Linked DNA regions of Danio rerio. The protein of the gene in region 2 purifies or fractionates together with the protein of the main gene of each other region. This does not show direct contact. Links are inferred from orthologs where the notes say so. Each region holds a gene or a part of one and is shown on either strand. Other genes may lie near its edges.

Region 1 (3,655 bases), on a different chromosome or scaffold from region 2:
GGGTGTGGCCTGACTCAGTAACGATGGGTCTGGTGCGAGTACTGTGGAGGCTGCTGGGAGGTAGAGGAGTATCCCATGCTGCTTTGGGGCAATGATGTGCTTGGTCCTGGGTTCTGGTAGGCAGCATGTGGATTGGAGCGCTGAAAAACAGAGATTAAACAGTGTTGGTGACATACTGGGTTTCCAAAACAATTGTGGAAAAGAAAAAAATTGGGCATAAAGTTTGTTTAAAAGAATAGTTCTCCAAAATAAAAAAACTTTAAAAGTACAGTATGTAAGTTTGACACCCAGTGGTTAAACTAGGTACTGCACTCCTGGATCAAAACAGATTTTCATTTGGCTCCTCCTCTGGCAAATCCGTGCGCAGGTTGCCAGAATGAAATGTGCCTGACTATTGAGCCTAAAGGCTGATTTTCACCGTTTTCCAACTAAAAGCAATGGTATGCGATAGAAGGTATATTTTCTATACTAAAAGGAGCTTTTGTCCAAACCAAGAACTGAAATTTCTATTTTAGAAACAGCTTCTATTTCTCACTGGTTAATAGCAATCAACTTAGGGTACTCCTCATGTGCTTTATTCACTGTCAAATTCTAATTATGCGAGTTTGAATGCCATTTTACAAGACATTTATTGCCATACTACTGAAAGCAGCAGCAGACAGTTCACCTCAGATCTCGAAAATAAAATAAACCGTTTGATACTGAACTATACAGCTGTGACTCAGTGGAAGACAACACATATTAGTGATTCAGCATGTACATTTAATAATGTTAAATAGGTTTCATATGTATCAATTTAATTATAAACCTTACCATTACGCTGGAGTGCAGTGCGTGCACTATTCTGTGCTTCTGAATGGCTGTATTTAAATTACTGTTGTTTTTCATCTGGTGCAAACAGCCAAATGTAAATCTCTTCACATAGTATGTTGTTAGGACACGGTTATACAATGTATTCTGCTCACCTAATGTTTACATTCCTAATCTTAGTATTATTTGCTAATTAAAAGACACCTCGTTGATCTCTAAATCTGCTACTGTTAACCGGAGGTTGCATTTCAGTCGCAGACACATGCTTAAAATATAATTAGGCAAACTGGGACTGGGCGGGTGAAAAGAACCAAAACAAAGACAGAAGTTCTGGCACATTTTTAAAGCAGAATATCTGACTGTAGCATTGTGTTTTAGATAAACAAAAATCTTCACTTGGCATGTTTCTTAATTATCAGCAAACATATTATTGTAATTGTACGCTTTAGAAGAGTAAAAAAAAATATATATATATTTATTTATATATATATTTATTTCTTATATACAGCATCCTTAAAAATGTTGTTTATTTACCCTCACACCGTGTCCTAACTGCATGCGATGTGACAATATTGCAGTGATAAGCAATTTGTCTGTATGCACTAAACGCAACAGAAACATTTAACTTTAGCCACTCAGAAGCACAGAACAGTGCACCAGACACCCAATAAAATATTAGGGTTTTTAATTAGAATATGAATTTTTTCATTGTAGTATCGTACAACACAATTTGTTTGGTAGCTTTTAGACTCTGACAGCAATAAGAAATATAGAACAAATAAACAAAAGTATCAACAATAAATACTTATCAAAACTATTCAACATTATTAAAAGTACATGGGCAACTGAGTAAATGATGTTGCTGGTTTGCAGTCAAAGTTCTCACTTTCATTTTCAAACTATTTGATAGTTATTTTATTTAAGGTCTGTGGTAAAATATGTGCTTCTGCTTTCAGTATGGCAATAAATGTCTTATAAAACTGCATTCAAACTCACATGGGTAGACTTTGACAGTGAATAAAGCTCGTAATCAGTACCTGAAGTGATCATTGTCATAGTAGTTTATACTGTTGTTCAGGCACAACATCGCAACAAATGGAAATAGAGTGAAATTTTGTACAACATCTACAGACGGTTCGGACAAAAACTCTTTTTACATGGAAAAGGAAGTGCATAAAGGGCATAAAGTCAATTGCTACTGGCACTTTGAGAGCTAAAAAAAAACATACACAAAACAAAATACACAAGGAATGAGGATTTTATGAAGAGAATAAAATCAGGCCACATAAGTAAAATATTGTTCCATTTCTTGCACAGACTGATTATTTATAAGGCCTTGTCGTATATTTAGGAGCGCAAGTAATAATTTTGTGTTGCCTGTATATTTTTTTGAGTGCCTGAAGCTACAGATTTGCATGTAGAAATCACCAAAGACAAAATCTTCTATAATGTTCTAGTGAAGAAAAAAGCCACCTACATCTCAGATGAAATGAGGGAGCATAAATGAACAGCAGTTCATTTTTGGGTGTACTTTCCCTTTAAGATCCTAAAGCTTGCAACCAAATGGTTGTGTCAATGTTTTGAATGCAAAATTTTACTAGGTGGTTCATTTTAGTTTGCGGTAAGGATAAAAATGAATTGAAGAGTGCCAAAATTAGAGTTCTTGTCACTTTATGATGAATTACTCTGTATAAAAATATGTGCTAATTGAACAGATCTAAATGAAAAAGTGCTAAAATTACCAGTAAATATGCTGTTTCTCTGGATTTCATAGATTTATTAGGTATAAACTTGAGTTGTATTTTAACTTTATTAGTCCTCAGCATTTAGTTTTAAAGCATATTTTGACAACTAGTCAGAATAACCAACATGTTCATTTATTGGGGTTGAAAATGAGGCCTAAATTTCCCCAAAATTAAATTAAATGAAAATTTCACCAAAAATGTTATCTTCTGTAAATATAAAACTTGTAACGTGATGTTTAAATTAATATAAAAAATGTTATATTGTTATTAAATGCAAAAAAAAAAAAGAGTCTGCATATTTTATATGTGGAAGAAATATAATCATCGGTTTAAAAAAAAAAAAGTTTTATTTAAAGGCATAACTACAGTAATAAATTAGTCTTTGTTGCATACAATATCAAAAAAGTGTCATGTATATTACAAAGAAACAAAATTGTCTGGAGAAACACAAGATTCATCAGTTATTTGATTATTACGACTGGTGGGCAACTTGCAGCAATTTTCTAGCCTGTCTGTGAAAATGAAGATGAATGTGTGTGTTTTGAGGCGTTACCTGGTAATCTGAGGTCATGATCAGGCCACTTGAGGTAGTGGTGGGCGGAACCACTCTCACCTTCTTCAGAGGCGGGCCTTGTGCGTGGCTGTTGTCAGGGTTACCTGTGTGCCCTGCCCCATTGGTGTGGTTGTTCCCCTGCTGCTGCTGCTGCTGGTTTTTCTGCGGTTGTGAGACACAAGAGAAAATACTTCTCTTAAAAAAACAGTAGAAGATCTCCAAATCATGTCAAAATGAATTATGCAGAGTGGGGTATTTTTTCTTTTAAATGGTTGATTAAATAATAAAATATTAATTTAATTCTAAAGGTCCTGATATACCTCAAGCATATTCAGAAAACATATTGGGTTCTGTTCTTCATACATGGATCACTCAATTAGCTGGATTTGATTATTTAATATTATTTGATTATTTAACAAGATCCAGAATAGTTCCATTCCTCAAAACATATCTGAGAGTTGTTGTCAAAGCAACAGTTCAAAAATCTGCTCATCAGCAGGACAATTTCAAATACAAAACAAACAAAAGAGGTTAGATTGAATAATTT
Region 2 (4,086 bases):
TGAATGAATGAATGAATATTTTTATTTAAAGATTTTAATTAGCATTTCATCAATTACAAAAAAAGAAAACAATCATCAAAAATATTCCAAATAAATGCAGTCTTAACACCTATTCACCGAATTAAAAATCTCAGTCTGTAGGTCATGTTCTCTACATGAGTCTTTTGGGATCAATCTTCTCCAGGTGAACGAGAGGTTTGAGCTGTTCTGCGAAGCTCCTCATGTCCTCAGACACAGTGTCCTGTCCCGCAGGAGCCAGAACGCTCAGCTCAACAAGATACGACAGAGAGAGCGGCTCCGTGTTATCCGTGTTTCCAGGAACCAGCACACGCGACAGTTTGCTCACCACCACCTTCATCACACCCTTCCGGAACACCTGACCCTTGGCCACGAACTCATGGTCCATGCGGAAGCCCATCTCATTGAGGAAGTCAGGCAAGCTGTGCGAGGCTGCCACGTCCACGCAGTTCCGCACCAGGGCATGACGGCTTTTGTCGCCCACCTCGGGCTGACCCAGATAGCGCAGGTGCCAGGGGACGGAGGGGTCGAGGAGCGAGCGGCGGGCACGCAGGATGAACGGGTTGCCCTGCTGACCTTTCAGGAGATACACCAACTCGTGATCAGCAAAGCTCTCAGGCTCCATGTTATCACACAGGCCCCGGAGGCGATGCAAGAGACTCTCCAGAGATTGGTCCAGTACACTGCCTGTGCCAAACAAACCAACAGAACACAGCCAAGTCAAGATGGATAGATAGATAGGGGGTGGGATGGATGGATGCATAGATTAGGGGCATAAATAGATAGATAGATAGATAGATAGATAGATAGATAGATAGATAGATAGATAGATAGATAGATAGATAGATAGATAGATAGATAGATAGATGGATGGATGGATGGATGGATGGATGGATGGATGGATGGATGGATGGATGGATGGATGGATGGATGGATGGATGGATGGATGGATGGAAGATTAGATGGATGGACGGACGGACGGACGGACAGATAGATAGATAGATAGATAGATAGATAGATAGATAGATAGATAGATAGATAGATAGATAGATGGATAGATAGATGGATGGATGGATGGATGGATGGATGGATGGACGGATGGGGGATGGATGGATGGATGGATGGATGGATGGATGGATGGAGGGAGGGACGGATGGAGGGACGGACGGACAGACAGACAGACAGATAGACAGACGGACGGACAGACGGACAGACAGACAGACAGATAGGGGAATGGATGGATGGATAGATAGATAGATAGATAGATAGATAGATAGATAGATAGATAGATAGATAGATAGATAGATAGATAGATAGATAGATAGATAGATAGATAGACAGACAGAAAGACAGACAGAAAGACAGACAGAAAGACAGACAGAAAGACAGACGGACGGACGGACGGACAGATAGATAGATAAATGGATAGATAGGGGAATGGATGGATGGATAGATAGATAGATAGATAGATAGATAGATAGATAGATAGATAGATAGATAGATAGATAGATAGATAGATAGATAGATAGATAGATAGATAGATAGATAGATAATTTAAGCCTGTTCCTATACATCAATAAAAATAAAATTGTAATTGTGACTAATTTGTCTCAAGTAATGTCACAATTTCTCGCAATGTGGTGTCAATTTCTTAGTTAATGCTTAATAAGTCACTAAAAAAAAGATGTAATTGTTTTAATAAATTTAGTTATTAAATAATACATTTCAGTTGTATTTTTTTACTTACATTAACTTATTAACTGTAATAAATGTCGATATCCCTCACTGTGGCTTTTTGTTTTAATGTATGAACTAAGATTTACTAATGAGACCATATTTTGAAAGTGTTATTGATTATACTTTATGAATTAGCTGTATAATTTTGTTAAAAATGTATTTACTCCGAACACACACAAATCTGGTAACGGTTTAAGTAGGAATGGTAATATATGACCAAATAAGCAAACTATATTATGCAAACAATAAGACTCAGCAAAAAGAACTCTCGTGTAGCACAGTGCATGCTATAATTGTATAATTTAAATTATAACAATTGTAAATTATAATACTACAAACACTACAATGAATACATTGTATACATACTATTATTATGCTAAACTATTCGTTTTATATAACGTTAGCACATTCATAAAGTAATACTGTAGTACATGTTTTTATTATACAGAATCCCAAATTAAAAGTCTTAAGGAATTAAAGAAGATTAGGGTGCGTTAAATAAAAATAGTTTAAAACGCTAGAAAATGTGTGTGTATTGTTTATAATTACATATTCACTTTAACATATTCAACGCTTTATTCAAATGACTTTGCTAATTAAAAAATTGAGATTGCTCATAATGGGTATTTAAAAACTAAGTTAAAACTATTTAATAAAGTGTAACAAATGATAAATAGGAATGAATGAATGGTAAAAGGAGTTGTGCTGATGGTGTTGTTTACCTTGCAGAAGATACTCCATCATGTTTATAGTTCCACCCGTGACGGGCATCACAGTAACCGGCGGAGCCTCCATCACTCTATTATTATTACTATTACTAGTATTATAATTCTGAACTTAAGTCTCTTAATACATTTACAGTCAACGATCAGTTGAAAGATTAACTTAAACTAGAACTTTAACTGCTGTAGAAAACATCCACAACAATAGACATGCTAAGACGTGTTAGAAGATATTATCAACAAAAAGCAGGCAGACGATGAATTAAAAATAGCATATATTGTACTTGTATCAAAAAGCAATAAACAAAACTAATGATTTGCGTAAAATACTACGAAAAAATAATGTGTCTCGATGAAACTGCGTCCATGTGAGTAAAGCGCATGCGCAGTATGGATAGCGAGTACTGCGCATGCGCATTGTGCAACGCTTGCTCTATTCTTTTAGGCGTGCATTTAGTGACACCTACTGGACTGAAGTGAACTCTTTATCATATAAAATGGGTATTAAAATTGAGTATTATTAGCCTATTATTAATAGCAGGAGAACATCAATTATGGTTGCGAAAAGCCGATTGCCCTGTTGATCAAATTCAAGTCAAGGTGTTTGCTTGCAGAAAAACTAATGGCTCTAAGAGGTGGGTGTGATTTTGCCAATGCAATCATGGAGTGACATCTATCCTGGAACATGTCCTACATGAAGAAATAATTAGGCTATTCCTAAAATACAATATATTTTTTTTTATGGAGTAATGGAAATCACTATTTTAAAATGGAAAATTATGTGTAAACAAAAATGCAATGGTGGGTTATCGGTGTTCATTTTTTAAAACTTTAAACAATACATTCAAAATTAATTGGTTAATTAAATACAAGAAAGAAAAAGACAGTAAATGGTATACTTTTCCATATGGCGCAGTAGGTAATGCTGTCGCCTCACAGCAAGAAGGTTGTTGGTTCGAGCCTCGTCTGGGTCAGTTGGCGTTTTTGTTTGGATTTTGCATGTTGAATGTCCCTCCCTGTAGGGACTAAGCCAAAAAGAAAATGAACGAATGAATGAATGAATGAATGAATGAAGTTATATTTTGTGTCAAAATTTAGTCAATGAGGGAAGTTACTTTAAGTATATTATACGTTTCAGTGCACTGGCAGGACTTTTTTTATTAATATTGTTATTATTATCATCATCATCATCATCATTTATTATTATTATATTGTTATTTTATTATTTATTTTTTCTAGCATTTTCTTAGTTATGTGCATTTCTCATAAATACCTAGTTTTATAAGCTCACGTTAAGCATATTTTCCAAAAATTATATTGTTTTAATAATTGTTATTATTTCATATCATATTATTTCCAAATAGCTTAAACATGCATATTTACCATTTACATGCAGTACGTACGTATGAACCAATGGTATGAACCATGAACGCAAAGCAGTCGAGTAACTTTTATTGTGGAAAACATTAAATGCACTGTGACGTTTATTTTGAAAATAAATCGACATGTGGAGACCTTTATTTTGAAGTTTCGTGCCATCTTAGGGCTGCATGACATCGCTGGCTGTTGAAGATGAGCTCAACTGTAATGCTTCCTGTCGACATCTAAT
Region 3 (4,316 bases), on a different chromosome or scaffold from region 2:
GACAGCTGAAATGAATGAGTCTAAAGGGGGATGGTGTCAAAAACGGCCAGAAGTGCTGATCACGCCACGGGTGTCAGAGCCTGCGCCACATGTCACTCCGCCAGACCTCCTGACATTATCACAGCGTTTCACACACGATTTAAGCCCCAAACGGAGCGTCTGGCTCGGTGAAATCCAGCCCCGCTCCGCCCGAGGCACCCGCGGCTCGGACGGACTCACTCACCTAGGGATTGTGCGCAGATCCCCGGTTCCTTTGGCTTCGTCCTGCCGGGAGAACCACACCTCCAGGAGCTTCTCGGTCCCCTCGAAGAAGTGTGCACTGCTCTCTTCCATCGTGAGACAAACAGACTCCAACAACAGAAAATAAACCGTCGGATGGAATCACAAATTATGTAGTCCTTCGTTGGCGGTTATAACTTAATAGCTTAGTTACAGTCCTTGAGCAGTCCAGATGTAGTTGCCTTATTTTTTTGTTTGTATTTACCGTCTTCCCTTTTACAGAGAATACCGTAGGCGAGTGCTAGCTAATATCGCCGGCCATACTGTGTAAGCGCAGAACGGCAGTCTGCGCGGAGCTTTTATTACCTACCCGACGACGTCATTCTCGTCGTTGCCAATCGCGGCGAGGGAGCCACCCTCAGGTCTACAGCGATTGGTTGAACGGATATCAGTCAAGCGGGATGTTGCGTAAAAGTATGAGTTCACGCTGTAGTAGCGCGTGTGTGAGTGTGTGTCCTTGTATAGATGAGCAAACATTTGCGTTGCTATTGACCTTATTCTAAAATGCGGAAGTGCGCCTGTTTTCGCGATTGTCTTAGAACTTCCGATTCAGTCGCCTATGGGAGAAATGACTAGGAATAATAAACGACAGAAAATGGCCAAACTACTTGCTCAACAAACAAATGTTTGCATGACTACACAGACCAAGTAGCATAATATAATAAGAAAATATTAAATTGCAACATCAAGCAGCGTAACGTGCAGTTGTTAACGTCAAAAAATGAATGGAAGTGAATGTGACCGGAAGTCGCGAGACAAAAAGATTCAAATGGCAGCGCCCGCTCGTCAGCTGAGAATAAGGTGAATAACGCTGAGCCACTGCACAAATAATTGACTCCCATTTATCTAGCACTCTCTTTGAAAAAGAAAAAAACTGTTAGGTTATGTATTCCACACATTTTATTAATTATGTTTAGTTATTATAAGCTTTTTTTCTGCCATTGTGCAAACACTCCAAGCGCTAACGTTCAGAAATGTTAGTTTTGAATCAGAGTGGAAAGACGAAAGGAGGATTTGTTCGCTGTAGTTTTTCAGATGTCCTGCCGCCGTCAACTCGAGCTGGCGCTCCATCAAACGGCACTACGCTCCCCACAATGCAACCCGCCACAATAAAATACGTCACCGAGCACGTGACCGTTAAGCGGAGCCGACCAAAATCCCAAACAAGGAAATGGTGGGGTAATAAAAACGATCGGATCATTTAATTAATGCATGTAATAATTAATATTTTATTTTCTTGTAAATTAAGAAATATTTATGGGTTAAAATGGACTACGACTTCAAAACGAAGCTCGCCGCCGAGAGGGAGAGAGTGGAAGATCTGTTTGAATATGAAGGTTGTAAAGTGGGTCGCGGCACATACGGGCATGTTTATAAAGCGAAGCGTAAAGACGGGTAAGAGACACGCGTTTGATTGACGCGTTTCACTCACTGCACGCGCTTCTGCTGTCTCTGGGTGTGCAGGAGCTTCATATGTGTCGGGGGAATTGCGCTGTTTTCTGTAGCCTGCGTGTGTGTGTGTGTGATTGTTTTTGTTTTCATGGACGCACTTCAAACGGTCCACCCCCAAACCAGCCAGCGTGATGCATGTTTCACTCTTGTGTGCAGGAGTTCACTGCAAATCAGTTCCTCTGTCCAGAAGTTGCATGCGTTTGAAGTCCACTGTGAGTTTGTGTGCTCGGATGAGAAGATGTCATGTTTACATGTGCTGGAATTCAGAGGCTCACCTGTGCACGAGTTGACATACTCATTTACGCAGTATAACAGCTGCCCACTTCTTCATAAGTGCACAAGCTCTTGCGTGCTGGAGTTTATGGAGCATCTGTGATCGAGTTCACGTGCTTGCAGTGTGTGTGTGTGTGTGTGTGCTCTTATTTATACAGGAGTCAATGTGTGCTCAATAAAGGGGTCCTCTTATGACACTTTACACAAGATGTAAAATAAGTCTCTTATGTCTCTAGAGTGTGTGTGTGAAGTTTCAGCTCAAAATACCACACAGATAATGTTTTATATCTCTCTGAAATGGACCCTTTTAGGCTTTGATCCAAATCATGCTGTTTTGGTTACTGTCACTTTAAATTTAAAGCATAGCAGCAGATTCGAAACAGGACTAAAGTTTCTTTGTGAAAAGATGAAAATGTGGTGGCGATGCAGTAAGTAGCACAACCTACTGCGCCACCGCATCTCCAATTTTTTAAATATCTGTGTGATATTATTTTCTGTGGTGGTTCATTCCGCTGCTGCAACCCCTGATAAGTACGAGAGTACAGCCTGGTTTATACTTCTGCGTCAAGTGATCGGCGTGACCCACGGCGCATGCAACGCGCGTAGCCGTGCATTCATACTTCTGCGCGCTATTTCTGATGTTCTGCAATAACACTTCCGAAAAGCTTGTCGGCAATGAGGTGTTAATGTTCCTCTGTGTTGAGTTTATTCGCTGGCGTTTTGTTTTTTCTGAACGCTCAAACTCGCTTATTTTGAGGCAGGAACCGGCGGACATGCAACAACTTTAATCATAACCCACATAGCAAAGTTTCTCTGGCCCAGCTGTGGCCCACACAATCAGGTTTTGCTTGGCCCACATGCCGCAGTGAATTACGGTACATGACTGGACCAAATCTGGCTTCCAGACAAGGGCCAAACACGGACCATATCTGGGCCAAGTCTCAGCCAAGTTAATAACTCATAACTGGGCCTGAACTGGGCCAGATAGGTTGGTGTGTCACGATTGCAATGAAATTGATAAACCCATGGAGTGATGCGCTTTAGGCACACTATGGGCACGCTTTTTCTCAAAGTGACCTGATTGGTAGAATTTATTTTCTTTACTAAAAAATGATTTTAGTGTATTTTAAATGTGGGTCAAAACTGGCCAAACTCACATGGCCCACTTATCAAATTTTTAAATCTGGGCCAAATACTACGTTTTTCATCTGGCCCAAATCTTGTGTGCCGCCTCTGCCAAACCCGGGCCATGTTTGGCCCACATGCTGTATGCCAGTGCCGGATGAATGCCTGCTGTGCCAGCTTTATGCCAAATCTGGGCCAGAATTCTTTGCTACTAGGGAAGGTAAACACAAAGCAAAACCTTTCATCCGGAGCTCCATCACGGGACTCCACACTTGTAAACAATCGCTTCATCGGCCTCGCACAGCTCTCGGTCCCGCCCACACTTGTCAGCGATTCCAAGCTAACCAATCCCAGAGCTTGCGCTACATGTCGTTGCGATGTGTAGTTCCATTTTTTGAGAGGTGCGTGTCAGCGATGGCCACGGCGTTGGGCTATGCGTCAGCGCGTAGGCTGTGCTGTAGCATACGCGTGCGCTTGATGCAGAAGTATAAACAGCCTTAAGCTGGTTTGTGTTCACACTGTTTTTTCCTTCTGAACCCCGGTACGCTTGCGTCATCGAGCTGCTGTTTTGTTTACAGCCGTTGCTAGGTGACGGTCACGAAAGCAAGAGGCGAAATGGACAAGGCCTAATTTAATGATTTACGCTTAGCTAATAGTAACTGCCAAGCTGGGAAACCCAATGACAGAGGTGAGACACAGGTCGTATATGTTTGTTTCCATGACCCACAGGGTTTGTTGCATGTTTTCCCCCCTGATCCTGTCCGGGCCGATACAGCAACGCTGTTTGTTTGCAGCAAGCATTTTTTTCAGGAAAGCGTCAGACTTTGTCTTTTATCATTTATTCATTCATTTTCTTGTCGGCTTAGTCCCTTTATTAATCCAGGGTTGCCACAGTGGAATGAACCACCAACTTATCCAGCAAGTTTTTATGCAGCGGATGCCCTTCCAGCCGCAACCCATCTCTGGAAAACATCCACACACACACACTCATACACTACGGACAATTTAGCCTACCCAATTCACCTGTACCACATGTCTTTGGACTGTGGGGGAAACCGGAGCACCCGGAGGAAACCCACGCGAAGGCAGGGAGAACATGCAAACTCCACACAGAAACGCTAACTGAGCCGAGGTTCGAACCAGCAACCTTCTTGCTGTGAGGCGACAGCACTACCTACTGCGCCACT

The links.
Region 1: the proteins of med18 (region 2) and cdk8 purify together in Homo sapiens (affinity purification with mass spectrometry; 5 studies listed by BioGRID and IntAct, counting the BioPlex papers as one, with this or other methods). This does not show direct contact. The link is inferred for Danio rerio from reciprocal best matches to the Homo sapiens genes MED18 and CDK8.
Region 3: the proteins of med18 (region 2) and cdk19 purify together in Homo sapiens (affinity purification with mass spectrometry; 5 studies listed by BioGRID and IntAct, counting the BioPlex papers as one, with this or other methods). This does not show direct contact. The link is inferred for Danio rerio from reciprocal best matches to the Homo sapiens genes MED18 and CDK19.

The regions. Positions count from the first base shown.
Region 1 is NC_133199.1:25,415,314-25,418,968, reverse strand, and holds part of cdk8 (cyclin-dependent kinase 8), read right to left. Parts: intron 3,271-3,655; coding exon 3,109-3,270; intron 141-3,108; coding exon 15-140; 3' UTR 1-14.
Region 2 is NC_133191.1:7,708,811-7,712,896, forward strand, and holds med18 (mediator of RNA polymerase II transcription subunit 18), read right to left. Parts: upstream 2,817-4,086; 5' UTR 2,551-2,816; coding exon 2,478-2,550; intron 706-2,477; coding exon 152-705; 3' UTR 5-151; downstream 1-4. UniProt on the Homo sapiens protein: Component of the Mediator complex, a coactivator involved in the regulated transcription of nearly all RNA polymerase II-dependent genes.
Region 3 is NC_133195.1:3,039,593-3,043,908, reverse strand, and holds the start of cdk19 (cyclin-dependent kinase 19), read left to right. Parts: upstream 1-1,418; 5' UTR 1,419-1,546; coding exon 1,547-1,674; intron 1,675-4,316. Other genes in the region: amd1 (S-adenosylmethionine decarboxylase proenzyme), read right to left, coding at 224-333.